7 linked regions of the Ovis aries genome follow. The protein of the gene in region 6 interacts with the protein of the main gene of each other region in a pairwise test. Links are inferred from orthologs where the notes say so. Each region holds a gene or a part of one and is shown on either strand. Other genes may lie near its edges.

What was found.
Region 1: the proteins of STAT3 (region 6) and NFKBIZ interact in a two-hybrid assay, tested with the Homo sapiens proteins (2 studies listed by BioGRID and IntAct). The link is inferred for Ovis aries from reciprocal best matches to the Homo sapiens genes STAT3 and NFKBIZ.
Region 2: the proteins of STAT3 (region 6) and RPA2 interact in a two-hybrid assay, tested with the Homo sapiens proteins (2 studies listed by BioGRID and IntAct, with this or other methods). The link is inferred for Ovis aries from reciprocal best matches to the Homo sapiens genes STAT3 and RPA2.
Region 3: the proteins of STAT3 (region 6) and GADD45GIP1 interact in binary tests that used the Homo sapiens proteins (3 or more experiments, as listed by UniProt). The link is inferred for Ovis aries from reciprocal best matches to the Homo sapiens genes STAT3 and GADD45GIP1.
Region 4: the proteins of STAT3 (region 6) and SRI interact in binary tests that used the Homo sapiens proteins (3 or more experiments, as listed by UniProt). The link is inferred for Ovis aries from reciprocal best matches to the Homo sapiens genes STAT3 and SRI.
Region 5: the proteins of STAT3 (region 6) and BMX interact in binary tests that used the Homo sapiens proteins (3 or more experiments, as listed by UniProt). The link is inferred for Ovis aries from reciprocal best matches to the Homo sapiens genes STAT3 and BMX.
Region 7: the proteins of STAT3 (region 6) and BLK interact in binary tests that used the Homo sapiens proteins (3 or more experiments, as listed by UniProt). The link is inferred for Ovis aries from reciprocal best matches to the Homo sapiens genes STAT3 and BLK.

What each region holds. Positions count from the first base shown.
Region 1 is NC_056054.1:167,095,421-167,100,182, reverse strand, and holds the start of NFKBIZ (NF-kappa-B inhibitor zeta), read right to left. Parts: upstream 2,900-4,762; coding exon 2,611-2,899; intron 451-2,610; coding exon 311-450; intron 1-310. UniProt on the Homo sapiens protein: Involved in regulation of NF-kappa-B transcription factor complexes. Inhibits NF-kappa-B activity without affecting its nuclear translocation upon stimulation.
Region 2 is NC_056055.1:239,191,922-239,195,904, forward strand, and holds part of RPA2 (replication protein A 32 kDa subunit), read left to right. Parts: intron 1-1,986; coding exon 1,987-2,061; intron 2,062-2,563; coding exon 2,564-2,680; intron 2,681-3,983. UniProt on the Homo sapiens protein: As part of the heterotrimeric replication protein A complex (RPA/RP-A), binds and stabilizes single-stranded DNA intermediates that form during DNA replication or upon DNA stress.
Region 3 is NC_056058.1:10,910,214-10,914,914, reverse strand, and holds GADD45GIP1 (large ribosomal subunit protein mL64), read right to left. Parts: upstream 3,029-4,701; 5' UTR 3,013-3,028; coding exon 2,663-3,012; intron 959-2,662; coding exon 640-958; 3' UTR 601-639; downstream 1-600. UniProt on the Homo sapiens protein: Acts as a negative regulator of G1 to S cell cycle phase progression by inhibiting cyclin-dependent kinases. Inhibitory effects are additive with GADD45 proteins but also occur in the absence of GADD45 proteins.
Region 4 is NC_056057.1:73,943,173-73,947,884, forward strand, and holds the start of SRI (sorcin), read right to left. Parts: upstream 3,196-4,712; 5' UTR 3,165-3,195; coding exon 3,114-3,164; intron 2,204-3,113; coding exon 2,120-2,203; intron 20-2,119; coding exon 1-19. UniProt on the Homo sapiens protein: Calcium-binding protein that modulates excitation-contraction coupling in the heart. Contributes to calcium homeostasis in the heart sarcoplasmic reticulum. Modulates the activity of RYR2 calcium channels.
Region 5 is NC_056080.1:13,696,324-13,700,306, reverse strand, and holds part of BMX (cytoplasmic tyrosine-protein kinase BMX), read right to left. Parts: intron 2,868-3,983; coding exon 2,692-2,867; intron 1,202-2,691; coding exon 1,130-1,201; intron 440-1,129; coding exon 386-439; intron 1-385. UniProt on the Homo sapiens protein: Non-receptor tyrosine kinase that plays central but diverse modulatory roles in various signaling processes involved in the regulation of actin reorganization, cell migration, cell proliferation and survival, cell adhesion, and apoptosis.
Region 6 is NC_056064.1:42,177,818-42,181,800, forward strand, and holds part of STAT3 (signal transducer and activator of transcription 3), read right to left. Parts: intron 2,949-3,983; coding exon 2,798-2,948; intron 1,216-2,797; coding exon 1,071-1,215; intron 483-1,070; coding exon 384-482; intron 1-383. UniProt on the Homo sapiens protein: Signal transducer and transcription activator that mediates cellular responses to interleukins, KITLG/SCF, LEP and other growth factors. Once activated, recruits coactivators, such as NCOA1 or MED1, to the promoter region of the target gene.
Region 7 is NC_056055.1:105,347,644-105,351,626, reverse strand, and holds part of BLK (tyrosine-protein kinase Blk), read right to left. Parts: intron 3,423-3,983; coding exon 3,346-3,422; intron 953-3,345; coding exon 802-952; intron 1-801. UniProt on the Homo sapiens protein: Non-receptor tyrosine kinase involved in B-lymphocyte development, differentiation and signaling. B-cell receptor (BCR) signaling requires a tight regulation of several protein tyrosine kinases and phosphatases, and associated coreceptors.

The sequences.
Region 1 (4,762 bases), on a different chromosome or scaffold from region 6:
ATTTTCACCTCATTCAACTTGGGTCAAGGTAAAATTAATAAGGCAACTTGAGCTTTTCCTTTCTAATCAAAATGTTCCATTGAGCTGAACCACATTAATTTCCTTGCCCCCAACTTGCCTTCGTTTACTCATTCATTAAATTTCTCTTGCACACTGCCAAGCGCCCAGCACTGGGCCCAGCGACAAGAATCTAGCAGACAGCAGGACAAATATGCTCTCTGTCCTTTGTACTCTGTGGTCTATGAGAGTAATAACCCTAACAGACTAACCTCCCTGCCACCCAACCCAAAACAAATCAGTTAGGTGCCACCTTAAAATCATCGACAGCTTGTCCGGAAGCCTTCTGTTTATGACTTCGGATGTGCAATAGGAGTTCTTTCACCGAGTTCTTCACACGAACACCTTGAAAGGGTCCTCTCTGCTGCCTTACAGCCCCCATATGGGGCTCAACTGTTCAAAAACAAAAAACAAAAACATATCCCAAGTGAGTGTCTTCAAAGACATGAATATTAGTAACTTCGAAAGCACAGCTGTCCAACGTGATAAAGTTCCCAACTGGCCACAAAGCCTCTTCAACTCACCCCGGCCGATGACCTTGCACGTCAGTCCCCAGCCCTACTTAAGGATTCTACCTTGCCTGATACCTTTCCCCACCAGGCACCCTAAGGAATTAAAGCTCATAAAAAGTCATTTCAGGGAGCCCCAGAAACAAGGGATAAACCCAAATTAGTTCTCTCTCAGCCCTAAATACGGCAAGAGAGAGGACTGCAGATTTTGCCATCCTGACTCTCATAAATCTATAATTATTCTAGACTCTTTAAAAACCTGGGAGAGCAATTGCTAAATGATGAATTTTTAGCTTTCCAAACCAAAGGGTTTCTGTCCACACAGAAATTGTAAAGTCTTATCAATTCCACTCACCGAAGAAGGCACAAAACAATGTACCAAAGCCTAATAATTAATAATGTCTTAGTTTATTATTTCCCTCAGTTGAGCTATGCCGAGAAAGCTGCTTTAAATTCACTAAGCTTAAACACATTTCCACACACACACACAGGATTTCCCCTCACCGACTGTTTACGGAATTGCTCATATAGGCCTTCTAAGTAAAAAGGAAATAATCTCATTTCATATTTAAGCTTTAAAATACACTTTAAAACATAGTACATGAGTACAGCATTCCACTCTGACCACTAACATGTCACAACCTCTTGGGATGAGTTGAACACAGAGTAAACACACACAGTCAGGAAATGAATAATTCAGCAATTCCATTGAGAGTAGGAAAAAATAAGATAGGACAAAAACCAAGGCATAATTTAAACATATATATATATGTACTTATAATCAAACATATGAGAGAAACAACTCAATGATAGGGCAAATTAAACAGCTAGTTTTACATTTAAGTCATTTAGAAATATCTTGCCAGAATCTAACACAGCATTTCTCTGGAATGACAGCAGTTAATAATTCAACGTCACAAGGAGAAAAATTCAGTTTCAGAAATCCCCTATGGTAAACCAAAGAACTAGTAAAATAGTTTCAGCCAGATGAAGGCCAAATGAGGAGGGGGGGGGAAATGGTTTAGATAAACACACACAATTTTGGCATTTACTGCACACTCAAGATACAGAAAGCGTTTACAGAGTGGAACTGTTTGAATCACTTTTTTAAATGAAAATGACAAATCACACTTTAAAACGCAACCAAAACAGGAATGGCTAGCAGTGGGGAACACCTGGAAGAACGTTCTTTAAAATCATGCTGATTACATTTTCCAAAATGTGAGATTATCTAGACGTTCTTTGGTTTACCCACAGTGGCATCCTGTTTTCCCCCAAATTATGCAACTCCGTTCATTAAGAAAAAAAACTAACAATTCACAGCGGAAGACCGGAAACATTACGCCTTTCTCTGCCACATACAGCCCAACCACTCTAAAGCACAGAAAACAAAAACAAGACCGCAGAAATTCGGGGCAGACTTCGGAAAATCAAACTCAAGGTATACGTTGGTTTTCAGTACAGCTTCATCTCACATCTTGATAATATCCGTTTCTTTTCTTTATAAAGTCCTTCTACGTAAAAATTTTCACAAATACGTACTTAGGAAGAAATAATGACCTTCAACCTTGTACTCAAACCCTTATCGCCCGCTGCAGCCTTTCACTAAAACAGCCACGAGAAAAAGGTACACCTACATCGGCTCCAAAACCTCGCCATAGTGTGTGGATTATAGTTAATAAAGGCGTTTTTTAAAAGAAAACGAAGAGAAAAGCCAACGTGGTCCACTTCTCCCCGCCCGCCCCCCCCTCCCCAATCAGAGCCGTGTGTTTCCAGCTAACAGGCCAGCCGATGGCACCCGGATTTCACAGACGGTCAAAGGGCATCGAGTGATACTAAACGCCCAGCACAGGGCAAGGCATCCAGTCGTGGCCTAATATGACGACCAGTGTGATTATGTACCGCCGCTAAGGCAGGCGCAGAATCCTCCTAAAACCTGGCCGAGGTACTTCACATCTGGGCAGCCCAGACCACCCGCCTCCCCGAGCGTGGGCCCACGGGAGTCCGGGGGTCCCGGGGTCGCCCCGCTGGGGCCGCTGGGTACCTTGCAGCCGCTCAGCACGGGCGCCGCCTCTCGGCCGGGACTCGACCGCCCCGCAGGAGGACACGGACGAGGCGGAGGAGAAGTCGGAGGAGTCAGAGCCGGGCGAGCCTGGCGCCGAGGGCCCAGACGCCGAGCAGCCCCCGTCGCAGGCGCCGGGGGCGGCGGCAGGCGGCGACGCGCCGTAGAAGTAGGCCAGGTTGAGCGGGCTGGTCATGAGGCCGCAGTCGCCGGCCGCGTCCAGCAGCCCCTCTCCGCCGCGGCTATCGTCCAGCAGCTTGTCCACGATCATGCTCCCGGGCTCGGCGCTCGGGGACTCCAGACAGCTGTGCCCCCGGCTCACTGCGCGCGGCTGCCTCCCGGTTGTGGCTATGGCACCAGCTCTGATGGGCTCAGGGTATCGGCGGGAGGACGGCGCGGGCACGGGCGCGGACCCGGAGTGCCCGACTATTTAACCGGCGTTCGAGACCAGGGGCGGAGAGAAGGGGCCACCGCCTCGCCGGCCTCCCCCGCGCCCTGCTGGGCCATTGACGGCGTCGGGACCGCCTCCCGGCCCCTCCTCCGGATGCGCCCAGTTTCCAGTAAAATGTACAGGATGAAGCAATGTGTGCCCTCCGCCCTCGCCCCGCCCAGACCCGCCGGTTGTTTTCCTGCCCTTCACCTAGAAACCCAGCCGGAGGGCGGCCCCCCGGCTTTCGGCCCTCGTCCCCTGCCCTGGGATCCCCGCCCCGGCCGCCCGCCGAAAGATGCCCGAACCGGCTCTGCTTCGGCGCACCCCCAGCCCGGCCTCGGCGCCGGGGAGGAGGGCGCGCTGCGTGGGCATGGCCCGCAAAGTGGGGCCAAGAGGCAGGAGGCGGCGGTGGGAACTGGTCGGCCCGGTTCCGCGGAGTAGGAAGTGCTGGAAGATCCGCGCCACGCAGCCCTCCCGCCGCCCAGCGCCCGACTCCTCGCCAACCCCAACCCCGGCGTCTCCGGGAGGCTCATACGGGCCAGTCTTTGTTCAACTTAGTAAGCGTTTGCCAACATGCCTTTTGGCCGGGTCTCAAATCCCAAACTGAAAGAGATGTTGAAGCCATTTTTTGGTCCTCAAATTATAATCTGGGCAACATTTTTGGTGCCAACTGGGAATAAAAAGCATTGGCCTACACCCCAGAATCCTTCAATATTGAGACAAAGACGTCTTAGCAGAGTGATAAATATACATGCATGTATGTGTTTGTACGTTTATGTCTGTATTTAGGTTTATGCTGCGTAAGTGTTCCCTGTGTCGGATAAATACAGGAACTTTGCTCTTTGCTGTCTTAAAATACTTCAGTGGAGTTAACACAGCTTTTTTGTGTGCTGTGCTTAGTCACTCAGTCGTGGCTGACTCTTTGGGACTCTATGGACTGCAGCCCACCATGCTCCTCTGTCCATGGGGATTCCCCAGACAAGAATGCTGGAGTGGGTAGCCGTTCCCTTCTCTAGTGGCTCTTCCCAACCCAGCGATTGAACCCAGGTCTCCCTCATCACAGGTGGATTCTTTACCAACGGAGCCACCCAGGAAGCCCAAGAATACTGGAGTGGGCAACCTATTCCTCCTCCAGGGGAATCTACCCAACCCAGGAACTGAACCCAGGTCTCCCGCATTGCAGGCAGATTCTGTACCGACTGAGCCACCAGGGAAGCCCAATTTTTTTTTTTTAATTGAAGTCCCAATTACTTGCTAAAACCGTGGCTAGGCCTTAGTGGGAACAAAAGATGAGTGATTGTGTCTGTCCTTTCAAGCACATTATAATCCTAAAAGAATGATAAGGTAAGTACACACTATATTAAAAGAAACCGATTATGATTAAATATCATGAGGGATACAAAGTTCAGTTCAGTGAGTATCCTAAAAAGCAAGACAATATCTAGTGAAGGGAAAAGTGAGGTAATCAGGAAAATCTTTGCAAAGAAGGTGACATCTGAGATAGACCCCCAAAAATGAGTGAGGTTTCAACTCACAGCATTTCTTGGAAGAGGGAACAACAGGAGCAAAGAATTAAGAAAATAAATCAGATGAAAAAAAGAGTCCCTTCTACGGTAGTCAAGGGAAGATCATAACATTAAATGTAAAAGGTAACTTGGTGCCTTTGGGTGGTGCTCCTCCAGTGACAGACTGGCACACCTGGTC
Region 2 (3,983 bases), on a different chromosome or scaffold from region 6:
ATGCTGGGAAAGATTGAGGCAGGAGGAGAAAGAGACAACAGAGGACAAGATGATTGGATGGCATCACCAACTCAATGGACATTAGTTTGAGCAAACTGAGAGATAGTGAAGGATAGGGAGTCCTGGTATGCTGCAGTCCGTGGTGTCACCAACAGTCGGACACGTCTGAACAACAACAAAATGTTAATTTATGGGAAGATTTTTTTAGTTGTCTAAGTGCTTTGATTCCCTAGGAGTGTTTACTTTTGTTTGTAAGAACCTGAAAAGTAGTAATCTCTTATCATATTATTTCTCTAGATTGTCTACTGACTTTGAAAAGCTTTTCCTTGTTTCAAATTACTGTTTTTTAATTGTGTTTCCTTCTATAATTTCTGTGTTTTCTTTTCATATTTCTGTATATGACTAAGCCTTTTTATAAATTTTGGTGAAGTATAGATCCAGCTTTACTTTTTCCAAGTGGTTTTAAAATGTTCTTTTGGGGAATACAGAGTTTTATCTGTGGTATAGATTCAGCTGTGTAAAGTAATAGAATGAAATGCAAATAGTTGATAACCTCCAGGTGATGGGAATTGGAATGCTTTTTATTTTTAAACATCCAGATTTTCTATTCTAGCTTTTTATACTCATGTATTCTCTAAGTCGGAGAAGGCAATGGCACCCCGCTCCAGTACTCTTGCCTGGAAAATCCCATGGACGGAGGAGCCTGGTGGGCTCAGTCCATGGGGTCGCTAAGAGTCGGACACAACTGGGCAACTTCACTTTCACTTTTCACTTTTATGCATTGGAAAGGAAATGGCAACTCACTCCAGTGTTCTTGCCTAGAGAATCCCAGGGACGGGGGAGCCTGGTGGGCCGCTGTCTATGGGGTCACACAGAGTCGGACACGAGTGAAGCGACTTAGCAGCAGCAGCAGCAGCAACATTCTCTAAGTGGGCTTCCCAGCTGGCGCTAGTAGTAGAGAACTCCCCTACCAGGAGACATAAGAGATGTGGGCTTGATCCCTGGGTGGGGAAGATCCCCTCAGGAGGGCATGGCAGCCCACTGCATTATACTTGCCTGGAGGATCCCGTGGACAGACAAGCCTGGTGGGCCATAGTCCGTAGGGTCACAAGGAATTGGACACAGTTGAAGCAATTTAGGACACACACACATCCTATAAACAGAAAAGAATTTTGAGTCAGTTTATATGTTTTTCTTATAAATAATAGGTACATAGTCTAGAAAACCCACAAAGAAATATTAAAATCATTTATAATTATCCAAGTTAACTTGTTAATATTTTGACATGTATGTTTCCCCTCATGGGAAATAAGCTTTTTTCCATGAGTCACAACTGATATTCACAGACAATAAATAGAATTCTCCATTTATCCTTTGTAGCAGTGTAAAGTATCCCATTATATGAATGTATATTTTTTGTTGGATATTTAGGTTGCTTTGGCATCCCATTCCAGTCCTCTTGCCTGGAAAATCCCATGGACAGAGGAGCCTGGAAGGCTGCAGTCCATGGGGTCGCTAAGAGTCGGACACGACTGAGCAACTTCACTTCACTTTAAATGTTTTAGTAGTATTCAGAATTGCTGAGATGACTACTCTTAAAGCTAAATCTTGATTACATGTTCTCAGTACTTTTCTTAAATTTCTAAAAGTAGAGTTGCTGTACTGAGAAGTATGTCTACCAGAAAGTTGTGTGCCTAAGAGCACTGCATGAAAGTGCCATAATTGTTTGCTGGGTTTGTTGTTTCTTTTTTTTTGATATGCATGATGTAGAGCTTGGAACTGGAACTTACTTTTAGAGATATTATCCTAATTTCTGATTTTACTTTTAAAAATATTAAATTCTAAAAGGCAGGGAAAACTAGTTAGTACTACATTAGGATCCTTTAGCTCTTACTTTGTAACTTTCTCTACATAAATTAGAAATTTTAAAGAGGCTTTCACCAACATCACTAAAACCTAAGTGTGTGTTTGTATTTTTTCTGTTAGGATGCCAGTGGTGAAAACACTGTGGTCCCTCCAGAAACATATGTGAAAGTGGCTGGTCATCTGAGATCTTTCCAGGTAAAGTCAGAAAAAAACAACAACAGTTAAAATGTATTTGCATGAAGCAGTTTCTGGAGTCATGCCTACATTTGGGATACTTAAGACTTAACTAAGTCTCTATGTTTAATGGGAATTATATTGAAGTTATTTCATTATTTTCTTCTTCAGAAGGAAATGATGAGTTTTTTCAGTTTAAAACAGGAAGTAGAGAAAGAACAAGATCTCAGCCTACAGTTGCCAGCTATGGCATTCATTAGATGTAGAAGGGCAAACACTGGATTTAGAGACTAGACTGTTTAACCTTGGGAAAATCATTGAACGTCTCTGAGCTAGTTTTGTTTTTTTGACTATATTTCATTGACTATATTTGAATTAACTTTGAGTTGAAATTTTTCAATATATAGCACATTTTCCTCATTTAATAAAATACTGTAACCAAGAAAAGAGCCATGATGTTTTGGCCTGAAATTGACTTGAATGTACTTACCCTTTGTTCACGTTTTTCTATTTATTTTAATAGAACAAGAAAAGCCTGGTAGCCTTTAAGATCATGCCCCTGGAGGATATGAATGAGTTCACCACACATATTCTGGAAGTAGTCAATGCACACATGATGCTGAGCAAGTCGAACAGCCAGGTGAGCAATTTCACTCTCTTCGTTTTTTTCTCTTCCCTGGAGGAACTGCTTCTGTGCTCAAGCTTTGATTTCCGTAACATTTTGCAGATCGAGCCAGAAGACAGGCATCATTCAGTCCTCAAAAAATTTTCTCCGTGAGCTTTGTCATGTTACTTTATTCCAGATGAAACACTCATATTCCTCTCATAATACCTGTCCACTGTCTTGAATGGCTGAGGCCCAGACAGACTTTAGGTGTAGACTCATCATTATAGGCTGAGCTCTTTACTTCAGGATTTTCAGTCCATATTCAGAGAAAAACCCCAACTAAGACAGCATTTTGCTGCTTCCCTTTCAAGCTACTGGCTAAATGAGAAAATTTATTCACCATTATTTTGTCCTGAAATTATACTTCTTGTTTCATGTTGAAGTTTCTCAACATCTTTTTCTGTAGTATGAATTTAGTTTGACAAGTCCATCTAGGACCACACAAAAGATTTGTTGATCTGAGTATTAGAATGCCCTTAGATGATTCTGGTAGCAAGGTGGAGGCCTGGTTACAGTAGGAGGGACTGGAAAACTGATTTGCTTTTGCATCCTGTTCTTTGCCAAGCACTTTGCTAAGCACTGAGGATACAAAGAGAAATTCATTCAATTTATTGAGCATAGCATATGCAAATCATTATTCAGGGTCCTAGGAATACAGCAGTGAACAAGATGGATAAAGTGTCTGCACTCAAACTTACATTCTTGAGAGAGATGGATCATAAACAAGAAAATAAATATTGTTATAGATACTCTAGTGGAGGTGATGGAATTCCAGTTGAGCTATTTCAAATCCTAAAAGATGATGCTGTGAAAGTGCTGCACTCAATATGCCAGCAAATCTGGAAAACTCAGCAGTGGCCACAGGACTGGAAAAGGTCAGTTTTCATTCCAATCCCAAAGAAAGGCAATGCAAAAGAATGCTCAAACTACTGCACAGTTGCACTCATCTCACACACTAGTAAAGTAATGCTCAAAATTCTCCAAGCTAGGTTTCAGCAATACGTGAACCATGAACTTCCAGATGTTCAAGCTGGTTTTAGAAAAGGCAGAGGAACCAGAGATCAAATTGCCAAGATCCTCTGGATCATGGAAAAAGCAAGAGAGTTCCAGAAAAACATCTATTTCTGCTTTATTGACTATGCCAAAGCCTTTGACTATTTGGATCACGGTAAACTGGAAAATTCTGAAAGAGATGGGAATACCAGACCACCTGACTTGCCTCCTGAGAAACCTGTATGCAGGTCAGGAAGCAACAATTAGAACTGGACATGGAACA
Region 3 (4,701 bases), on a different chromosome or scaffold from region 6:
CAGAGTCGCTCTGGAGTTTGAGGCAAGCCCCCCACCCCAGAAGAGAACTGTTGTCTCTGATAAAGGTTTTGAAGTGAATAAAGTTTTAAAAGCCAGTCCTGTGGTTCATCCCTACTGGGGCTTCCCACTCCAGCTGGTCTGGGTCTAGGGGCTAGTTGGGCACAGGAGATGAGGGAATGCCATGAAAGGGGCAGAGGGGTCTGTCTGCCTCTGCAGATTGTGGCTCCTGGTGTACCCCGCCCCCACCACCAAGCTGTGTTATTCCCAGGCAGTGGGCCCCAGCCTTGGAAGGGCTGCTGCTCTTTCCACCCCCCCCATCATCACCACAGTCTGTTTTGGCTACACTTCCCCCCTGGTAATTGGCTAATTACTGGAGATTAATGTTGGTAAACAGAAGCCTTCTTCTCCTCTGCCATCTGCTCCTCCATTATTTCCCCATTGTTCCCCACCTTTTTTCCCCCTGAAGCCCCAGAGTTGGTCAGCATGGTCTTGAGTCCCCTGAGTGAGCAGAGCCAGGGAAGGGTGGGGGATTCCCTGGCTCCAGGTGTTGGAGAAGGAACCCATGTGCCCAGGGAGGGGTGTGATAAGAGGACATAGCTCTTCAGGGGTGGGGCAAGTTTTATTGGGAAAGAACCCAGCTCAGGAGTTGGGTGTTTCAGAGTCTGCTGGATCCTGGGCCGCAGCAGCGGCCATCGCAGCAGCTCGTGCCTCCTTCTTCTTTCTTTGTTTCTCCTCCTTGAGGCGCTTGCGATGCTGCTTCTCCAAGTCCTGCAGCAGCTCCTGGAAGCGGGCACTCCTCGGGTCCACGTGGTATCCCAGGCGCTCCTGGGCCTCCGCCTGCAGCCGGGCCCTCCGCTCCTTGTCTGCTTGTGCCTTCTCCCTGCGTGCCTGCTGCTGCCGCCGCCAGTTCTCAATCATCTGTGGCATCTTGGCCATGCACTCTTCAATGAGCTGCTCCCTGCCGGTGCAGGAGGGTGGTTGGTGAGGGCAGCCCCACCCAGCCAGAGCAGTACCCATCCACCCACCTCCCACCCCCAAGCCTCTGCCCACAGCCTGCCTCTTCCAGCTCCCCTATATCTCGAGATGAAAGATTGAGAAGGCTTATGGTGGTCATTAAAACTGTCAAGAAAAGTCCTTGAGAAGTGAAGCAAGAGGCAGGAGACAGGAACTAGTGTGAAAGTGACAGTGTTAGTCACTCAGTTGTGTCTGACTCTTTGAGACTCCATGGACTAGCTGCCAGGCTCCTCTATCCATGGAATTCTCCAGGCAAGAATACTGGAGTGAGTAGCTGTCTCCTGCATTGCAGATTCTTTACCATCTGAACTGCCAGGGAAATAAATATGTATTTAACCTTGAGTAAGCCCCAGTCACTCTAGGAGCAGACCCCAAGTCAACCCAGCATTTCCCTGAGCTGTCTCCTGAGCCATCCAAGGCCACGTGTTATTCCCATAGCACATTGCTTCATCCTACAGACATCAATGAGTACCCACTCTATGCCAGGCCCACTTCTTGATACAGGAGTGGAGGCAAGAAATGAATCGGACCTTTCCCTCCAATGGGTGGTAGGTATGAGTCACTGTTCCATTTTAAGGATTAGAAACATGAAACTGAAAGCCCCATGGTAGGTACGGTCAGCCAGCTGGGATAACGGGGTTTACTTGACATAGGTTCACTTCCCAGCTCTGTTCGTTCACTGGGCGATTGGACAAGTGACTTCACCCTCCCTGGCCTGAGTTTCCTATCTCTCAAATAAGGGTGATTCCCTCTTCTTCTTAGAGCTGCTGTGAGGACAAGGACAGTAAACACCAGGAACACACTCGCCTGCCTTCGCTGCCCCCTCTCTTCAGTAATTGGCACAATCAATATCTTCGCTCTTGCTTCCATTCTTACCTCTAAATCCTTCAGACCTGCCTCCCAAGTCCGATCTGTACCCTTGATCCCATGCTCCATCACCTCTCACACCTCCCCAGCCACACTAATGTCCAGGCTGTTTCATAAAGCATATACCGACCTCAGGGCCTCTGCACCGGCTGTTCCCTTTACCAAGAACACTCTAAGATCTTTCTATGGCTACCGCCGATCATTCATCTCTCTCTTAAGTTGCTCAGTCATGTCCAACTCTTTGTGACCCCACAGACTATCCAGTCCATGGAATTCTCCAGGCCAGAATATTGGAGTGGGTAGCCTTTTCATTCTCCAGGGTATCTTCCCAACCCAGGGATCGAACCTAGGTCTCCTGCATTGCAGGTGGATTCTTTACCAGCTGAGCCACAAGGGAAGCCCAACAGGTCTCTGCTTAAACATTTTAAATGTCAAGTTCTCAGAGAAGGCTGGGGCCTACCAAGGCGAAGTCGCCCTCAGGCCTGCAGGCTCCACCCAATTTTATCTTCCTAATGACTCTTGGTCACCATCTGAAATTCATTTTGTTCCCCACTATGCCCTCAGCACCTGGGACATGGCCTTGTGCATAGTAGGCGCTAGGTAAAGATTTGTTGACCGATGACTAAATGAACTTAGCCAGAAGTCTTTTCACATCCAGGTGAGCGTGCACGTAAATACCGCATGCAAAACCGGCGATAAACCGCCCGATGGAGTAAGCACTGTTGATGCACAATTCACTGTCGGCCCGCAGTCCCGCTCCCGCCCGACCGCACGCACGCACCTGGCTTGTCGCTTCTGCTCTTCCGCCAGCTGCTGCACCCGCAGCGATTCCTGCATGACCGCCAGGCTCGGGTACCATTCTCGCTCCTCAGCCTCCAGCTCGAGCAGCTGCTCCCGCGACGGCCACAGACAACTGGGGTCAACACCGGAGGCGGCGCCATGCCGCGCGAACTGCTTAGCTGCGTAGCGCGGCCCCAGCTGCCAGCGCGGGGTCAGTGGGTTATCCGGGTCGGGCCACCAGGGGTCCCGTGAGCGGCGCGGAGGCGGCGGCGCTCGGTAGCCGCGGGAGCCTGGGCCCAGGGTCGTCACCCATCCGAGGAGGTTGCGAGTCTGCCGCATGGGCGCAGCCATCTTGGCCGTGAGAGGTCCTCGCGAGCAGGCCGGGCTGGCCAAGGCGCTGCCTGCGCTTGAGGTCCGCTGGGGGCCGGGAGGAGGCAAGGAGCTTCCTGGCTGCCTCAGTTCCGCGCAGGGCGAAGAGGGGAGTAGTCTTAGTTTTTACACATCTTCAAGTATAATTATAAAATTTCCTGTAGCAGTTAATTTATTAAAATCTCATTTAAATTTTTTCTTAGTTTTTTGTTCATATTTAAGATTTAATTTTATGTTAAAATAGCATTTATTTTAAATATTAACATTTAAGTGTTTTAAATTTAAACGATCATTTAAATATTTATTTAAAACACTGAAATATTTTCGTTTTAAGTTCAATCTACGTATTATTTTATATTTTAACTTTTAAATCTATGCAACATATTTAATTTTTTTTAAATCCAGGCAGTAATGTTGGAGTGGATTGCCATTTCCTCCTCCAGGGGATCTTCCTGACCCAGGGATCGAACCAGTGTCTTCTATGTCTCATGCATTACAGGAAGATTCTTTACCCTCTGAACCAAGGGGAAAGCAACCCCTGGCTCTTTTCTAGGTCCATGGGCTTCCATAGTTGCTGCACGCTGGCTCAGTACTTGTGGCCCAGGGACTCAGTTGCCCTTCAGCGTGTGGAATCTTCGGGGCCAGGGAACAAACCGTGTCCCGTGTTGGCAGACAATTTCTTACAGCACCACCGCGGAAGTCCTAAATATTTAAATTTTATATAAACACTTATTTAAACATTGTTCATAACATTAACTATTTATATGATGCTTTTTCATTTGATTTTAATATATTTATTTAAATTTTAATTTTGAATAATTACTTAAAACTTTCCTTAACATTTATTTAAATGTTTACATTTTGTGGGCCTTCCCTGGTGGCTCAGATGGTAAACAATCTGCCTGCAATGCAGAAGACCTGGGTTTGATCCCTGGGTGGGGAAGATACCTTAGAGAGGAGAATGGCTACCCATTCTAGTATTATTCTTGCCTGGAGAATTCCATGGACGGAGGAGCCTGGTGGGCTACAGTCTATGGGGTTGCAAAGAGTTGGACATGACTGAGGGACTAACACTAACATTTCTGTCTAAAACACTTGAATTTGAATGTAAATATTATTTACTGTATTTATATAGAAATTTTACTTTACATCATATTGTAAATAGTTACTTTATGCCTTCTAAGTTTTTGTATGTTAAAATGTTTAAAACGTTCAATCCTGGTGTGGAAACTAAATACTATTTTTGAAAAAGGATTTCCACCTTAAAAAGGAAGGAAATTCTGACCCATGCTACAGCATGGATGAAATTGAAAGCCATTATAGTGAGCGAAATAAGGCCGTCAGAAAAGGACATGTTATATGACTTCACTTACATGAGGTCCCTAAAGGAGTCAGATTCATAGAGTCAGCAAGTAGGAGCGTGCCTGGGAGGGGCAGGGGACTGGGGAATGGGAGTTATTGCTCAACAGGTACAGTGGATATACACTGTATTGAGTGTAGGTGCTCAATAGGTATAGAATTTCTGTTTGGGATGATGAAAAAGTTCTGGAGATGGGTGGTGATGGTGGTTTCACAACGCTGTGAATGTGGTTAATGCCACTGAGCAGTACACTTGAAAATGGTTAAAATGTAAATTTTATGTTATGTATATTTTAGTATTTTTAAAAATGC
Region 4 (4,712 bases), on a different chromosome or scaffold from region 6:
CAGCATCTATTTGTCCATCCTTTTGGAAAAAAAAAAAAAAAAATAGGAAAAGGATTTACAAGAGTGACTTGTACCTTCCAGTTCTTTGTTTACATTCAGCATTCAGTATACCAATAATAATACAGAAAATGAATATTATCACACGAGACTTTTTTTAAATGGACGCCTTTCAAAAGTAGGCATTCTTTTTCTTCACTCTACTTCCCCAAACAACAAGTTACAGAAAGAAAGGAAACTGTTCCAGGTTCTCCCACAAATGGATAATTAAGGACATATACCAAAAATACCTTTCTTAGTACCTAGGCAAAGTGGGTATTCAATTTCAGGCTTTATTTGCAACGGTCATTACACAAGAATTACCAAGTCTGAAAGCTGCTTACACCTATGCTTTGGTATTACCAATATCTTTTTGTCATTTCCTATAAATTCCTGAATTAGATGGCATAACTTCTAAAGCATACGGTTCCTCTTCTTAATAAAACAGTAAGATTAATTCAGTTTCTTCCACTGAGACATATTTTTAAACATATAAATACAACTAGCTCCTACCCTTAACTACTCTTACTCTGAACTAGGAAACTGCAAAAGTAAGCAATTTAAAATACAATTATTTATGTATTTGATCAGAAGTTCTATTACTTGTCCTCGCTTTTTTTTTTTTTTTTTCTGTTGAGGGGGTGGAGGGCTGGGTACACAGATGACATCAGTAAATGAAAAGTTTGGTTCCCACAAAAAGCAGCCTCTGTGATCTCCTTTGCTTAGAATATGATGAATGTTTTTTTCAGATCACAATTATAGCTGGTTATACAATTATACAAGTTCTCCATGCCTATTCACTGGCTGACCTAGGTCAGAACTAGAAACACGTTAGATTTTAAAATAAAATGCCCAAATCCTCAAGTTCATGACTATTATACAATCTAGATGACAGGCACGATCAATAATGGGAAAGACGATGGACATGCTGCCGCAGACCAGGGCTGCTGAAAGCTAAGCAGGTGGGTGCCTTTCATGGCTCCTGGTCCTGGCGGTCTAAGAGTGCAGAGACTTGAGCTTTGCCGTGTCTTGTGGTTTCAAAGATACTGATCACTAACAGGTGAAGCAGATACTTAGGGGAAGCTCTTTCAGTTTTAGACTCAATTTTCCATTCAGTTTCTCAAACTGTACTTTTTCCAGTGCTGTTCTAGAAGGTGGTCACACGTTTTTATCCCATAACAGTCTACAGGCATTTTCACATCAAGACTGTGCTATTTCTAGCTTTTGATTAAAAGAAAGCTAGGTTGAATTCATAAGCACAAATGTCCTCTTTGAACATGTTGGATTATAACGGCAGTATGGTATATACAGTGACCTGGTACCTGAGGAAAAAGGCCTCCTACAAGATGAACTACCACCTGTCACACAACTAGAAGAAGTGAAAGGTTTTGGGGTGTTGACCTTAATTCATTCTCTGTCTGGGTCAACAGACCACAACACCTAACAAGGACATGGAAGGGCTGACCTAGTAATAGCATCCGCAGCTAAGAAAAACTAAACTGGCCACAAGATTAACTTCCTGATAGCAAGAAGAAAGTACCTTCCTTATTTTGAAGCTAGTGGGTTTTAACCTGGAGTACCCATTTCCTAAAGGGGTAATTAACAGTCAAACTCAATGCAAAGAAAATGTCCCTCAGAATCTGGCTACAGAATTACTGGTACTACATGATTCTAATTGTACAAAGAAAGGTTTAAAGTTCAGTCGACCTGGAATTTCTTCTCTGGAAATTCGCTGTCTGGATCCTGACAATTGACCGTTTTAAAGACATCTTTCTACCTTACATATCTTCAAAGCATATTTACACTAGTTTATTGTGTTCAATCTGACCCTAATTCAATCACAAGTTTAGTTCTGAATTGAACATAAGCAAGAGTAACACGTTGTCCCAGTTTGTTCTGAATATTCAAAAATAAATAACTGCCCATGAACTTCCTTCTCTCTCTCTCTCTCTCTCTCTCTTTTCTGGAGCAGAAGCAAAGGAATTCTTTTCCAGAGGAACAGTCGTTTTTCCGTGGGACTGTAACAAAGGTTAATACAAATGTACAAACTGAAATTTCTTTAATGTTAAAGGGAAGAGCTAACCTGTCCAGCTACAGCAGCAAAGTAACCATACAGCGGATCCTGAGTTTGCCCGGGAAACGCAGGCCCTCCGGGAGCCCCTCCGTACTGTAAGACAGGGAACAAATGAATAAATCCGATGACCAAGTTTTATCCTTTCACCACTGAGTGCCTTGTGCAAAGCCAGGTTCGCTGTCAGTCGTTTGCTCCCCCCCTCCCACCTCCCTTAACTCTATAGGCGCAATCACTCCTTCCCTTTGTCCCATTCTCATCCCAGTTATAATTTAAAAACCCGCAGCTAGGATCAAAATGAGTTGTCTTGACAATGACATCAGTATAAATGAAGTAACCTCTGCAAATCTCCATTAACCTGCAGTTTACTGAGACGAATGCAACCTGGCCATGCAACTTACCAGCAGGGCTCAGAATTGTCTTGCATAATTTTTCCTAGCGTTTAAGGTATTTTTAAAGCGTTCTGAGACAGGTGTAGCCTCGGGAGGGTGAGGTGTGTCACGGATAGGGAATATTCTCTTCAGGAAACAGTTCCCAAAAGGATGCCCGTCCCAGACTGAGGGCCAGGCTGCCTTCCTGCCGGAAGTCTCCGACTCTAGCGGACTTTCCCTGACTTTCCCCGTTTCTCTCAATTTCGGAGAGAGAGAGAAAGAAGTGGATCGCAGGACCATTCTAGAGTAAAATGGCTGTTGCTCTTAGGGAAGGCGGAGCGGAAGGCAACACCCCTTTTGCACGATTTCACGCCGCGGATCCGGGAGGCACAGGGTGGGCTTCTTGGGTTAAACTACGCGCGTCCCGGCCCCAAGCAGCAACCCGGGGGGAAGAAGGGACAGGAGGAAGGAGGTCGCCGGAGACCGAGGCCGGCCGGCGGGGGCGCTGGGCGAGGCGGCGGGCAGGGCGGGGGCGCCCGGGAACCTCCCCGGCCGAGACGACCCTTGTGGCTTCTCGGAGCCCCGGGCGTCCAGGGATCGCGCCCCGGCCACGAGCCCGCGCGGGCAGCACTCACCCCGCCTGCGTAGTAGCCGCCGCCGGCGCCAGGATGCCCGGGATACGCCATGCTGCACTCTGCGCCGCCGCCCAGCGCCTCCCGCCTCCCCGCCTGCCCGCGGGGACCGCCCAGGGCCGCACCACCCTGGCCCGCGGGGTACGCGCCTGGGGCCGCCGCCCGCGCCAGGCTCCGCTTCCGGCCTCCGCCCCTTCCTGCGCTCCGCCCGGTCTTTGGTGTTTTCTCTTCTCAGGCCCTGAAGACCCCGAGGTCTGGTAAATGACTTCACGCTCGGGATGCAGTTCACACCTGGGATTCTCCTCCCTTCAAAACGAATGGCACGTTCCAACACCGACCCATTTCGCCGGGTGTTCTTTTTCTCTTCCTGCTCGAGCATCCTCTGCTACGTTTTGTATTTTAAACAACTTTATTGGACAGGCCTACGGGTCTGGAAGCAAAGTGTGGTACTGGGGGAAGGGGCCAAATGCCTTCGGGCAGCCCTGAGATGCTCTCAGGGAAAGGAGACTTCGAAAAACCAAGCTGCGAAAGCGCCTTTGGACATCAGCAGTGAATTTCAGGATCTGAGCGCATTTGGAGTTGACCGTTTCACTTAACAATAACGGCGTGTTTCCTTCCTAGGCGACATTGTCATCTCTAGTTTAAGCTGGATGTGACTCGGATATGGCCTGAAGAGGACAGCGGGCACTTAGTAGGCAGGGCAGCCTCGGCCGGATTGTTCTTAGAAGTTGAGTTGTTCCAGTTATCTGGATGATTCAGGCAAAACAATCCTGTCTCCAAAATCACTCAGCTACTTTTTATGCAAGAACAGTTTAGTGCAGGCAAAGAGTGTGTTGGTAAAAACACACTTGTCAGGAAGGTAAGGGAGCTGGATCTTGGAGTTTCACTCAGGTGATTCAGGAAACAGTTTTCTTTACTTCACAGCTTTTTCACCCAGTTTAACAGTTTGAAGCAATTCAGACGTGAGATTTTCTGGTTTGGTTTTGTTTCCTGCAGTTTCTATCACGCAGAGTTCTTTGAATTTCAACAATTTCTTATTGTTTTAAGAAATGTAACAATAAGCAAGATTCACAGTATTTGCTGTGGAGGTTGCACAGAAAAATTGAATGAGTCACCAACATTTAACAAATACTGGAGCACCTGCTGTGTGTGGGACAGGGCTTGCTCATGTGGTGGACTGGGTTCTCACTGGGGTCTTTGTTTTCCTCTCATGTATAAACTTCCCTCTCAAGTTCTTTTGGATCCCCCAAACCTCAAAATAAAAGTCCTGAATTGAGAGAAAAATTCTAGTATTTCCTGTTGTCTTATATCGAATCAACTATACATTACTTGCTTTGTGTTTGATTCAGGAAGTTGATTCCTGTTTTCAAGTACCACAGTCATCATCAAGGTAGATTAGAGATATGAGTCCTTTGGCCCATATGGAGGGTTTTATTTTTTCCCTAGTATTTTTATTGTAGTAAAAACACAACCTGATATCTTCCTGCCCAAGTGTACAGTGTACACTATTGTTAAAAGCATCTACAGTGCCTCATAGCAGATCTCCAAAACTTTTCCTCTCACATGACTGAAAATCTCTACCAGTAAACAGCTCTCCATTTC
Region 5 (3,983 bases), on a different chromosome or scaffold from region 6:
CACCTGATGTGAAGAGCCAACTCACTGGAAAAGACCCTGATGCTGGGAAAAATTTGAAGGCAAAAGCAAAAGGGGATGGCAGAGGATAAGATGGTTGGAAGGCATCACTGACTCAATGGAGATGAGTTTGAGCAAACTCCAGGAGATAGTGAAGGACAGGGGAGCCTGGCATGCTGCAGTCCATGGGGTCGCAAAGAGTAGGACACGACTTAGCAACTGAACAACATTTTCATTAGTAACAGCCCAGGTTATTGTCACCCATCCTCCAGTTTCATGGCCCAGAACCTCACAGGAGTTTCTCCATGTAAATACAGCCTTTTCAGAAGAATAGATAGAAATATCTATGTCTAGTTTTAAAGGAACACAGAGGACTTTCAAAACTCACTCATAATCATCAAGGTTTTCCTCTTCTTCAGATGAACTTGACTCAGGGGAGCCCCTTAAGAAGAGAGGAAACGTGGTTAATACACACACACACGTGCACACACACACACACACGCACACACACACACAACCAAGCAATACTCCAAGTGCCTCACAGTGCCATGTCAAATCCCACCCTGCTTTTATCCACATAAATAAAATCTGCACTGTTAGATTTCCCTTTTTTGCACTTGGGAAGGGGTCAGCAAAGTGAAGAGAAGGTTGCTCACAAGTTGAGCTCATGCCCAGTTTCATGAGACACTGGCTCCTTGATACAGGAGGATCCCAGGAATGTAGATTTCTTTGACTCGGTCAGAAGAGCAGACTCGTGAAATAGATGAAATGCTTCAGGGACAGCTGTGATATGAAGTTAGAGGAAGTCTTGTGAGTGTATAGAGGTATTCTCAAAGAAGAGTTCCTTAACACCACCTTGTTTTCCCTCCGGCTCACATGCCTGAGCCAAGTAGGTTTGTGTTCATGCTGACACCTGTGTATATCATGTATGATGGGTAGGAAATATCAGTGTGACCTCAGAAGTTATCCATTCAGACCACTGTCAGGGTTCAAAGAAGCAAACTCCGTGTATTTGTTTGTTTTATAGTCACCTTAAAATTAAAGGCTAGTTGCAAAATTTTTACACCTGTGATTAGTTTTCCTGAAGATGAAAGAAATCCTGGCTGCAACAGAATATCTGAAGTTGATTTACCATGACATCTTTGAGGTGTTGTGATTTACAACATTTCTTTCCCTTTGGTTACTGCATGCCAAATCTTCACTGCTACAAAAAAGAGAGATAAAGTTTATAAATTTATATTTATTTACAAATGTTAAATGGCAAAAGTAATTGTTTGGATATGTTTTAGCTTTATTTAATATTGTGACCCATATATGTCACTTGGTTTGGAAATTTAAGCTAATGAGTCATTTTCACATTTTCATCCTTGCAGTGACCCCACTAAAAACTAGTCATTTGATAGGATGCCTAAACAAAAGAGAGTTTTTAATAATGGCTCATAATAACCCCAAACAGTAGAAAACTTGGATTAGTAAATCATCCTGGCTGGGTTTGTTCTGATTTTCTTGTATGTGTGCAGGCATTCTGTCATTAATATATTTTAATATAAGTTATTTTCCTCTTTGCCGTTATGCTTGCAATGGAAAGTCCTGAAAATACTGAACCTTTTAACTCCATGTGTACACACACAGATCTGCAGGGTTCTCTTCATCCTCTCCACCCATCATTTTATCTCTTTTACTTGGTGTGTGAAACAGCCCATGAGGAAGTGCCAACTTCTCCAAGTCCAAAGGTTGTTTTAGTTGGAAGGTAGGACCTATTTCCTGTTTGCCTTCACAACCCAGGCTCTTTTTCAAGACCACACTTCAGAGTGACAAGCTTCCTTAGCAAGGAAGTGCTCCTCTGGCTGCAGTTCAAGGAAAGCCTGGAAAGCCCCAGCTTCCCAAAGAGCCTTGCTCACTAGCAAAGCTTTTTCCCTTCAGCTCTTCATAAGAAAGCTCTTATTTAAAAATACCAAGCAATTTAGCCTTTTTGTGGTTTTTAAGAACATGTGGAGAGTGTCCATCAGTTGTGCATCACTTAGGTTTGTCCACATGATGGAATGCAATACAGACATTCACGATAATCAGGTGGCTTACACAACAGTGGGAAGGTAATGAACACTGCTGAACTCTACACTGCAACATGACGAAGGTGGTAAATTTTGTGCTGTTTTACCACAGCTGAAACATTAAAAAATTAAAAATGTAGTATATCCTCATGTCTTAAAATAGGAAAAATGTCCCAGATGTGAAGTGAAAAGTGCAAGTGGCAAAGAAGACTATAGGTGAAGGTGTACATCCTGAGAAGGCAGCCACAGCCTCGTTTGAATACTTGTCATTGGCCAGTGATGCCAAAGCACGTTGCAAAAACCTACCCACTCTAAGCTGTCTCAGATAAAGGATATATTTTAAAGATTTGGTGTTCTGGACTGTGGGGTTGTTTGGAGGAAGAAGGAAAGAAAGGAAAGGGAATAAAGTGCTCAAGTATTGTACGCATCATTAGATTCAGTCATCTAAATGGCAAGTCTGTGGTGCTGAGTCCCAGTGGGGCCAGCACTACTCTAGGCTTCTGGCTCAGGCACTGAGGATTTTCCGAGAGGGCAGCCCTGTCTCAGCCATGGCCTGTGCAGGCCGTGCTGAGGCTCAGCTCTGAGGCAGTGGGGTAATGTCTGCTTGACATGCTGTGCAGCTGGACTGAAAGCTGGGACTTACCTTTTCAGTTTTCTTACTTGCCACCAGTCAGGAAAGTCTTCTTTTGGAATATACTTCATGTTGATGTTTGACTGGGAGCCATAGTTTTTCTTGGAATCACTGTCATACTGGGCTAGAGTGGTACTTGAAGATGGTTCATCTACTTTGAGAATAGGAACTGCTCTAGGAATCTTCAGCTTTGGAGAACAAGAGATTCAAGTACATCACAGTGAGGCACAGATTCATGAGCTGGGAACTGACAATCAAAGTATATCAGCTTTTAAAAAAAATAGGAAAGAAAGGGGTAGTAACTAGTAGTCATAAGACATGGAGCAGCTGGAACTCTCAAACTTTCTTGGTTGGAGTATGAAGTGCATGACCACATTGGAAAGTTGTTTGCACATATCCTAGGACCCATATACGCCCAATAGTGAAACCAAAAGACATATAAAAGGATGTTCCATAGCAGAATTATTTCAATTAGGTAAAAACTGGAAATGACCTTATTGTGGCTGTAGTTGGCTAAATCATGCCCTTTCCCCAAAGATGTTTATGTCCCAGTCCCTGCAACCTGTGAGTATGTCACCTTACATAGTAAAAGATACTTTGCAGATATGACTAAGTTAAGGATCTTGAAATGAGGTGATTATCCTGTATTACTGGGATGAGCCAGATATAATCACAAGGGCACAAGTGAGATGCACGAAGGTCAGAGATTAGGGGGCAGGTATAAAGATGGAAACAAAGATCAGAGAGGAAAGCAGATGCTACCAATCTGGCCCTAAAGATGGAAAAGGGGGCCAGGAGCCAGGGAATGTAGGCAGCCCCCAGAAACTAGGAAAAATAAGTAAATAGATTTTCCGTAAAGCCTCCTAAAGGAGTACAGCTTTGTAGACCTGATTCTAGACTTCTGACTTAAAAACTATGAGAGAAGAACTTTCTGTTGCTTTAAGCAACTGAATTTGTGGTAATTTGTTACAGCAGCAATAAGAAACTCATACAGCATTATATTCACACAGTGGAATTCTGTACAGCAATTGAGGATAAACTGCAACCACATACTAAACTATGAGTGAATCTCATGAGAAAATAGGCAGTAAACAACTATATACTTTATAATTCCATCTATGTAAAGATCAAAGCTAGGCAAATATTCTATGATATTATATGTCAGCCTAGTGATTGCTTTTGGTGGGATGTAGTGACCCAAAGGGAAGATAAGGGTGGTCCTGGGGTTCTGAGATGTTCTGTTTCTTAATCTAAGTGTGGGTTATACAGATATGTTTGGTTTGTGAAAATTCATGAAGTTGTCC
Region 6 (3,983 bases):
GATGTAATTAAAAGAATGCAAGACGTGGAAAAGTAAACCAATTTAAATATAATGTGTGTGCATGTGTTTCCTATATAGGAGCCTGGAGACAGTTATGAAAGGCTATATTCCAGACTATTAATGTTGGTTTCCTGGGAAGACAAAATGGACAGAGGAGCCAGTGACCTTTCAGTTCTTAAAACTTTCTTCCTTGTAATTTTCTGTAATGTTTTATTAAATAAAGTCTTCCTTAAAAAGGAGAATGCATTTTATATGCTGAGAAAGTTATTTTTACTGTACACAACCCCCAAACACCCACGATTATGGAGGTCAAAAGGCAAGGACATCTTCGTACACGTGAAGGAAGCACATATTAACAGCGCTTGCTTCTTCCCAGGCCTCACCTGGGCTGCAGTGGCTGCAGTTTGGAGGAGGCGGGACTCTTCCCACAGGCAACGGGCCACAATTCGGGCAATCTCCATTGGCTTCTCAAGGTATCTGCTCTGTAAGTGGGGAGACAAAGAGAATGAAAATCAGCAGCAGCTCAGGAGATGTGGACCGAACTTTGCTAACTTAAAGCTAACTTCCTCATAAACTAGGGAAAGTGTTACATTTACTACATGGAACCACAGAGCATCAGAGCCTGGCTACAGTCAGTAGGAGAAGTGACGGAGAAGAAAGGCAATCACGATGAGCAGTACTGTAGTGAGAGTAGGCTTGGTTGTCTGTCTTTGGACAGACAGACTTTGGACAGTGAGTTATCCTGGTCTTACAGGGGGGTGACTTTGTCAAGGAGTATCCAACTACGGTGTCCAAGCCTTTGACACTGAAAAGTAAGAGCCATTTTCCTAGTCATCTGAACTTGTTACAATCATGTCATTCGCATACTAACATAATATAATTAACATAAAAATCACATTATTATTTCAATGAACCAACCAAGTAAACTTCAAGCAATAATACTGAAAGGGCTGGTAACTTCTCCTTGGATTTAAAGTACAAGATAGGTTATTAATTAACCAAGTGAGAAACAAACATTTTCAGGAAAGAAAGCTAAAACCCTTCTCTGCAGGTTCAGTTTCTCCTCACACCTGAAGGAACTGCTTGATTCTTCGCAAATTGTGCTGATAGAGAACATTGGACTCTTGCAGGAAGCGGCTATACTGTTGGTCAATTTCTCCCAAGAGATTATGAAACACCAAAGTCGCATGTGATTCTTTGCTGGCCGCATATGCCCTAGAAAAAGGAAGATAAAGACAAAGAATGATTCTGAAACCTACACACATACACACGCTCACACGCACAGGCATGCACTCGAAATCACCATCAAGGAGGGAAAAACAAGGCAAACCTGAAGCTTTAACCCACTCACCATTTTAGATACATCTTACTCAGCAATCATAAAAGTCACTGATTTTAAAATTACCAGCAATTATTTTGGATACTATTAAGCGACTGTCATAGTTCTATATTTATCAAATTTTGAATGGTCAGATATGCTGTTTTCCTTTAAATTCTCAGTCAACTCTATGGTCAGATTTTCAGTAGCAAATAACCAATCCCAGGTTAGGATGGCCTATTTCCAACATCTCTGAATTACCTCCCTGGCCCCTCATCAAATTCTGGAAAAGCTAGGTCATGGGCCTGAATTAAACCAAAATTAAAAGGTGGATCTGAATACATTAAAGTGAAGGAAAGAGTTGCTGGGATTCTGTACCATTATCTCCTCTATGACCAAGTGTTAGTCTTTCAGTTGTGTCCAACTCTTGCGATCCCACGGACTGTAGCCTGCCAGGCTCCTCTGTCCATGGAATTCTCCAGGCGAGAATACTAAAGTGGGTTGCCATTTCCCTCTCCAGGTGATCTTCCTGACCCAGGGATATGAACCCGGGTCTCCTGCATTGCAGGCGATTTCTTTACCATCTAAGCCACCAGGGAACCCCTATCTCCTCTATGACTGAGTCTGTTTCTCTAACTCTGTATCTCTTTTCTTTAATGAAAGAGGAATCAGAAGTACAAACCCAAACCTTTTTTTACCCATGACAAAATTCTCATTCAGATTAAAAAGAAATTATCTGTAGCATGTCCCTGAAGCATCAGAACATGCAGAGAATCTCATCAAGCAAATGAAATTAAAATGGGCTTCCCTGGTGGCTCAGATGGTAGAGAATCTGCCTGGAACGCGGGAGGCTTGAGTTCAACCCCTGGGTCGGGAAGATCCCCTGGAGAAGGGAATGGCAACCCACTCCAGTATTCTTGCCTGGAGAATTCCATGGACAGAGGAGCCTGGCAGGCTACAGCCCATGTGGTCACAAAGTCAGACACGACTGAACCAGTAACAGGTTTTACTTTCAATTTCAAATCTTGCGAAGAACTGACTCATTTGAAAAGACCCTGATGCTGGGAAAGATTGAAGGCAGGAGGAGAAGGGGACAACAGAGGATGAGATGGTTGGATGGCATCACCGACTCAGTAGACATGAGTTTGAGTAAACTCCGGGAGTTGGTGATGGACAGGGAGGCCTGGGGTGGTATAGTCCATGGGGTCACAAAGAGTTGGACATGACTGAGCAACTGAACTGAACCATCAAGCAGGATGTTTCAGCGTGCCAAAAGACAGCTTTCCAGATGCCTTTCTAATGTAAAAATGCTTTTCAGGACTAAAATGACCTCTTTACTTTCCAATCTCTTTTGTCCCGTCACCTGCAACTATAAGCTTTAAGATGAAATAGTTAGCAAAGAGTTAAGTTAGAGCAGATCATGTCTCTTGACTCAAACTAAAGCCTAGCAATTTGGGGAGTTTCTTGAGAAGGACTTACCAATCTTGACTCTCGATCCAAGGGGCCAGAAACTGCCGCAGCTCCATGGGGAAGCTGTCACTGTACAGCTGATGGAGCTGCTCCAAGTACCGTGTGTCCAGCTGCTGGAGCTGATTCCATTGGGCCATTCTGCTGGAATCAGGGGTCACAACTGCAAACCAAAGGTTCATATGGTCACTACCAGCCCCAGTAAGAGGAAATGATCTATCCAACACAGGGATCAGGTCTGTGATTAGGGATAAAAGGTGTGTGGAAAGGCTCTCACTTGCTCCACCCACTTTAGAACAATACATATGGATTCAAATCTCTATCCCTGGGGCCACATCACAGCTTCTTTCTTCTAAACCAAGATGACAGTGTGGGCATGGTGCCAAGTTCTAGAATCCATTATCTCCTAGAGGTATGTGAAATTGAGAAACTACTTCACTTCCAGATTTCACTTCTTCTTATTACACAGACATTATAATTCCCAGCTCTCTGGGCTACTGAAATAATATTTCTAGAGCATTCAGCTCAGTGCTCAGCACACAATAGATGCTCAAAAGATATGAGTTCCTTTCTTTCCAGTTGGCATTCCTTTTAGGTGGACTGGGAGATATGAATACCGTAAACCTGAACTAAGACCAAAACGTGGGATGTGGGTGTTCAGGGAGGACAAAGAGCTAATTCCAAGGCTACAGATTTAGAAACTACCACACTGTTAATCGGTTATACTCCAATATAAAATAAAAAGTTAAAAAGGACTACAGATTTAAACCTACAGCAAGGATCTGCCTGGGGTTCTCCCATTCAAAAAAGAGTAATTATGTTTTTAAAATTTCTCAGTCTGGGGTGAGAAAGAAGAGAAGCTAAAGAAAAGGCATTCGAGCTGTCCCCAGGTTCATGAATACCCCAGAGAAATGTTCAGGAAGGAGAATGCAAGCCAGCTAACCACCTTAAATCCTCTTTCTGAATATCTTGGGTCATTGAAATAGCAATAGAGACCAAGTAATCTTAAGAACTGGGCTTCCCTGGTGGCTCAGACGGTAAAGAATCAGCCTGCAATGCAGGAGATCTGGGTTTGACCCCTGGGTTGGGAAGATTCCCTGGAGAAGGGAATGGCTACTCCAGTATTCTTGCCTGGAGAATTCCAAGGACAGAGGAGCCTGGTGGGCTACAGTCCATGGGGTTGTAAAGAGTTGGACAC
Region 7 (3,983 bases), on a different chromosome or scaffold from region 6:
GAAGTTCCCTCAATGAATGGGACAGATAATCCATTTCCCGTATCAACTGATTAATATGTTCACTAGTATCACTCGCTAACTTGCTTAATGAAATGTATTTTGAGTGCCTCAAATCCTCTTGTAAAGAGGATTTTGCCTAGTTTTTACAAAGTAAAGCAAAGCACCTGTAGTGACCCCAATTCAGGTATTAAGTTTTTGCTGCTCATACGTTGGGCTTTCCAGGTGGCATTAGTGGTAAAGAACCCGCCTGCCAATGCAGGAGATGTAAGAGATACATGTTCCATCCCTGGGTCGGGAAGATCCCCTGGAGGAGGAAATGGCAACCCATTCCAGTATTCTTGCCTGGAGAATCCCATGGACAGAGGAGCCTGGTGGGCTACAAGTCCATAGGGTCTAAAAGAGTTGGACATGACTGAAGGGACTGAGCAGGCAGGCGTTTAGGGCAGTGTTTTCTAAAGTGTGCTCTGTGAACCCCTGGTTCTATGAGAGGTTCACAGAACCTATGTGGAAAAAGTTTCTGGGGTTCCAATGACTTCGGGAGACGCAACATGAAACGTGTGTGCACCGTTCCTAAGCTGCGTGCCCTCTCAGTGCCTTTATCATGCTGCTACGGGCTGGGAATCTCCAAGGGAGGGCTCATGGAAGGGGTGGTATCTCTAAACCTACTCTCACCTAGTCATTCCTCCTGAGGCACCTGTGGTCTCCAGAGCACATCAGGGAAATGCTGAACCAGTTGGGAGCAAGGTCAGACTTGTACGATAAGAAGTCCAAGGGGGACTGGGGAGTTGGGGTGCTGCTCACCCTCCTGGGCGGTGTATTCGTTGTCGATGATCCGGGCCAAGCCAAAGTCCCCGATTTTGCAGCACAAGGCCTCAGACACCAGGATGTTGGCCGCTCTCAGGTCCCGGTGGATTGAATTCATCTGCTCGATGTACGCCATTCCTTCTGCAATCTGAGGGAGGGGCCCCACAGTGAAGGCCAGCCCCTCTCAGGGCGAGAAAGGACTTTAGGCCACCCTCTGCATCAGAGCCAGACATCAGAGACAGGCGGCGCGAAGGCTCCAAGGTGTGACAGGACGGGGGGAGCTGCCATGTGGCTGCAAAGTGGGGCACACGGGCTGCGTCTGGAGGGGAGCTTTGCACTTCATGCTATAAAGCGAGATGAGGAGCACCCGGAAGGCAGAGTGCGCACGCGCGTGTGTGCCCGTACACAGAGCAAGGCGCTAGCGTGATCACAGTGTGTTTTAGAAGCTGTGCACCTGGAAGGTTCTGATTTTCTGCTTTCCTAACCTTCAGATTCTTGGCCACATCTACGTAGAAACTTATTTATTTGTAGAGTACATCATGAGAAACACTGGGCTGGATGAAGCACAAGCTGGAATCAAGATTGCGGGGAGAAATATCAATAACCTCAGATAGGCAGATGACACCACCCTTTATAGCAGAAAGCAAAGAACTAAAGAGCCTCTTGATGAAAGTGAAAGAGGAGAGTGAAAAAGTTGGCTTAAAGCTCAACATTCAGAAAACTAAGATCATGGCATCTGGTCCCATCACTTCATGGGAAATAGATGGGGAAACAGTGGAAACAGTGTCAGACTTTATTTTTTTGAGCTCCAAATCACTACAGATGGTGACCGTAGCCATGAAATTAAAAGACGCTTACTCCTTGGAAGAAAAGCTATGACCCACCTAGATAGCATATTAAAAAGCAGAGACATTATTTTGCCAACAAAGGTCCGTCTAGTCAAAGCTATGGTTTTTCCAGTGGTCATGTATGGATGTGAGAGTTGGACTTTAAAGAAAGCTGAGCGCCGAAGAATGGATGCTTTTGAGCTGGGTGTTGGCAAAGACTCTTGAGAGTCCCTTGGACTGCAAGGAGATTCAACCAGTCCATCCTAAAGGATATCAGTCCTGAATATTCATTGGAAGGACTGATGCTGAAGCTGAAACTCCAATACTTTGGCCACCTGATGGGAAGAACTAACTCATTGGGAAAGACCCTGATGCTGGGAAAGATTGGAGGCAGGAGGAGAAGGGGACAACAGAGGATGAGATGGTTGGGTGGCATCACCGACTTGATGGACATGAGTCTGAGTAAACTCCATGAGTTGGTGACGAACAAGGAAGCTTGGCGTGCTGCAGTCCATGGGGTCACAAAGAGTCGGACACGACTGAGCTACTGAACTGAACTGAACTTAGAAACTCAGGTGACTTTTCATATCCTTTGCTTCTTGGCAACCCAAGATTTCCCAAAGGCTTGACAGAGATCATTGACAACGAGTGAGAAAAGGAAAAGAAAGGGAAAAAAGGGAGTGAGCAGGCTTATCATGAGCTGTGGTTTGAAACCAGCTACCAGGCTTAGTTTTCCGAGACCACCTCACCATCCTGTTCAGCCCAGCCTGTGTGCACCTCAGTGGAAAAAAGGCGGTGGAAAAAAGGCACGGTGACCTCAGTTCCTGCCCTGATACTCACAGCAGATAACGACTTGGAGGGGGTGGGGGTGGCGTGGGAGAGGGGAGGGTGCCTCCCTCCAGCAGGATGTGTGTGTGTGTTTCTGAGTCTCGCGGGCTGACCACAGACCGGAGCTTTTCTTCCGAGAGTTCCAGTTTCAACAGACACACACCCAGAGCCACCGGATGTGCTTTGCTGCCAGTTAGAATCCTCAGCTAAAATCCCCCGGGAGGAACGTTTCCCTCCTCTTCATTTTGCTCTTCACTTCATGATGTCTGAGTCTACAGAAGGCATTAATGGGCACCATCTGAGGATGGAGGAGGTCACCACAAAGTGCTGACCCGCCATAGGACGTGGAATTCGTGGGGACTTTCTGGGTTCCCCACACCATCCTTTCTTCCTCTGGTTCTCACCAACAGAACCTTCATGGCTGCCCAGGAGAAGGACTACATTTCCCAAGCTCCCTTGCAGCTGGGTACAGGCAGGTGACAGGTGGCCAGGGGGCTGGGAGAGCAAGTGTAGGGAGTGACTTCCAGCACTTGGCTCTAAAGGGAGTGGGTGTGGTTTGCCCCCTCCATCCCGCTTCTTCCTCCTGGCTGAGGAGGACAAGATGCTAAAGCGTGAGCAGGCTCCCTGGGTGGGAAGATGATCTGTTAAGACCCAGTGGGTGGAAGAAACCTGGGTCCCTGTGACTCTGAGGGGAAGCTCCACCGCCCACCCCAGACTGCCCGCCTCTGGTGCTTACACACTGAAGCTATGATGGCTTGGGTTTTCTCTCTCTCACAGCCCAGCCTAAATCTAATGGACACAGCCTCCAAAGAGTTGATCTCGCTGAGCTGCAAGGGCAGAGGACAGGGCCCAGGGGCCTGGATCCCTGCACTTGGAGCTCACGAACCTGGGCCGACATGTCAATCAGCCTTGAGAGGGACAATCGGCTACCTTCATCCGTCTTCAGGAAATCCAGCAGGCAGCCTGGGGAAAGAGAAATTGCAGCTGATCTTCTGCAGGGTGACCCGACCCTGGCCGGGCCGACTTCTCAGGGTGTGGGCTGCTGCCCACCTGGGCGGGAAGTGGGTGGCACTCTTTCAGGTCTCTTGTGCCCCCATGGCTGCAGGTGCCACTGCTCTACAGAAACTCCCACCTCAGCCTTCACAGCTCCCAAGAGGCGCTGGTCTGCTGCCAGCTGCTTGGAGGACGTGAGGTCTCAGTCAGGTTCAAGGTCACACAGTCAAGGAACCGGGTCAGAAACTGCTCGTGCCCTGCATGACATTACAAAGCATCTTCCGCCCACTTCACCCTTTGTTGGCAGACATTCTGCCTCCGAGGATGCAGGAAATCACCAGCATTACGGAGACTCATCTCCTGGAGCTGGTACAGGGGACAGAAGCTGCTCCTCTCTGGTATCTAAGAGCGGGGGACTGCTCACCTGAGGGGTGGCTAAGAGGTGAGCAAGGGAGCCACATACCTCCAGCTCAATGTAGGACCCCTTCATGACACCCTTTAAAGAACAGTCAGCATCAACACAGCATTTTA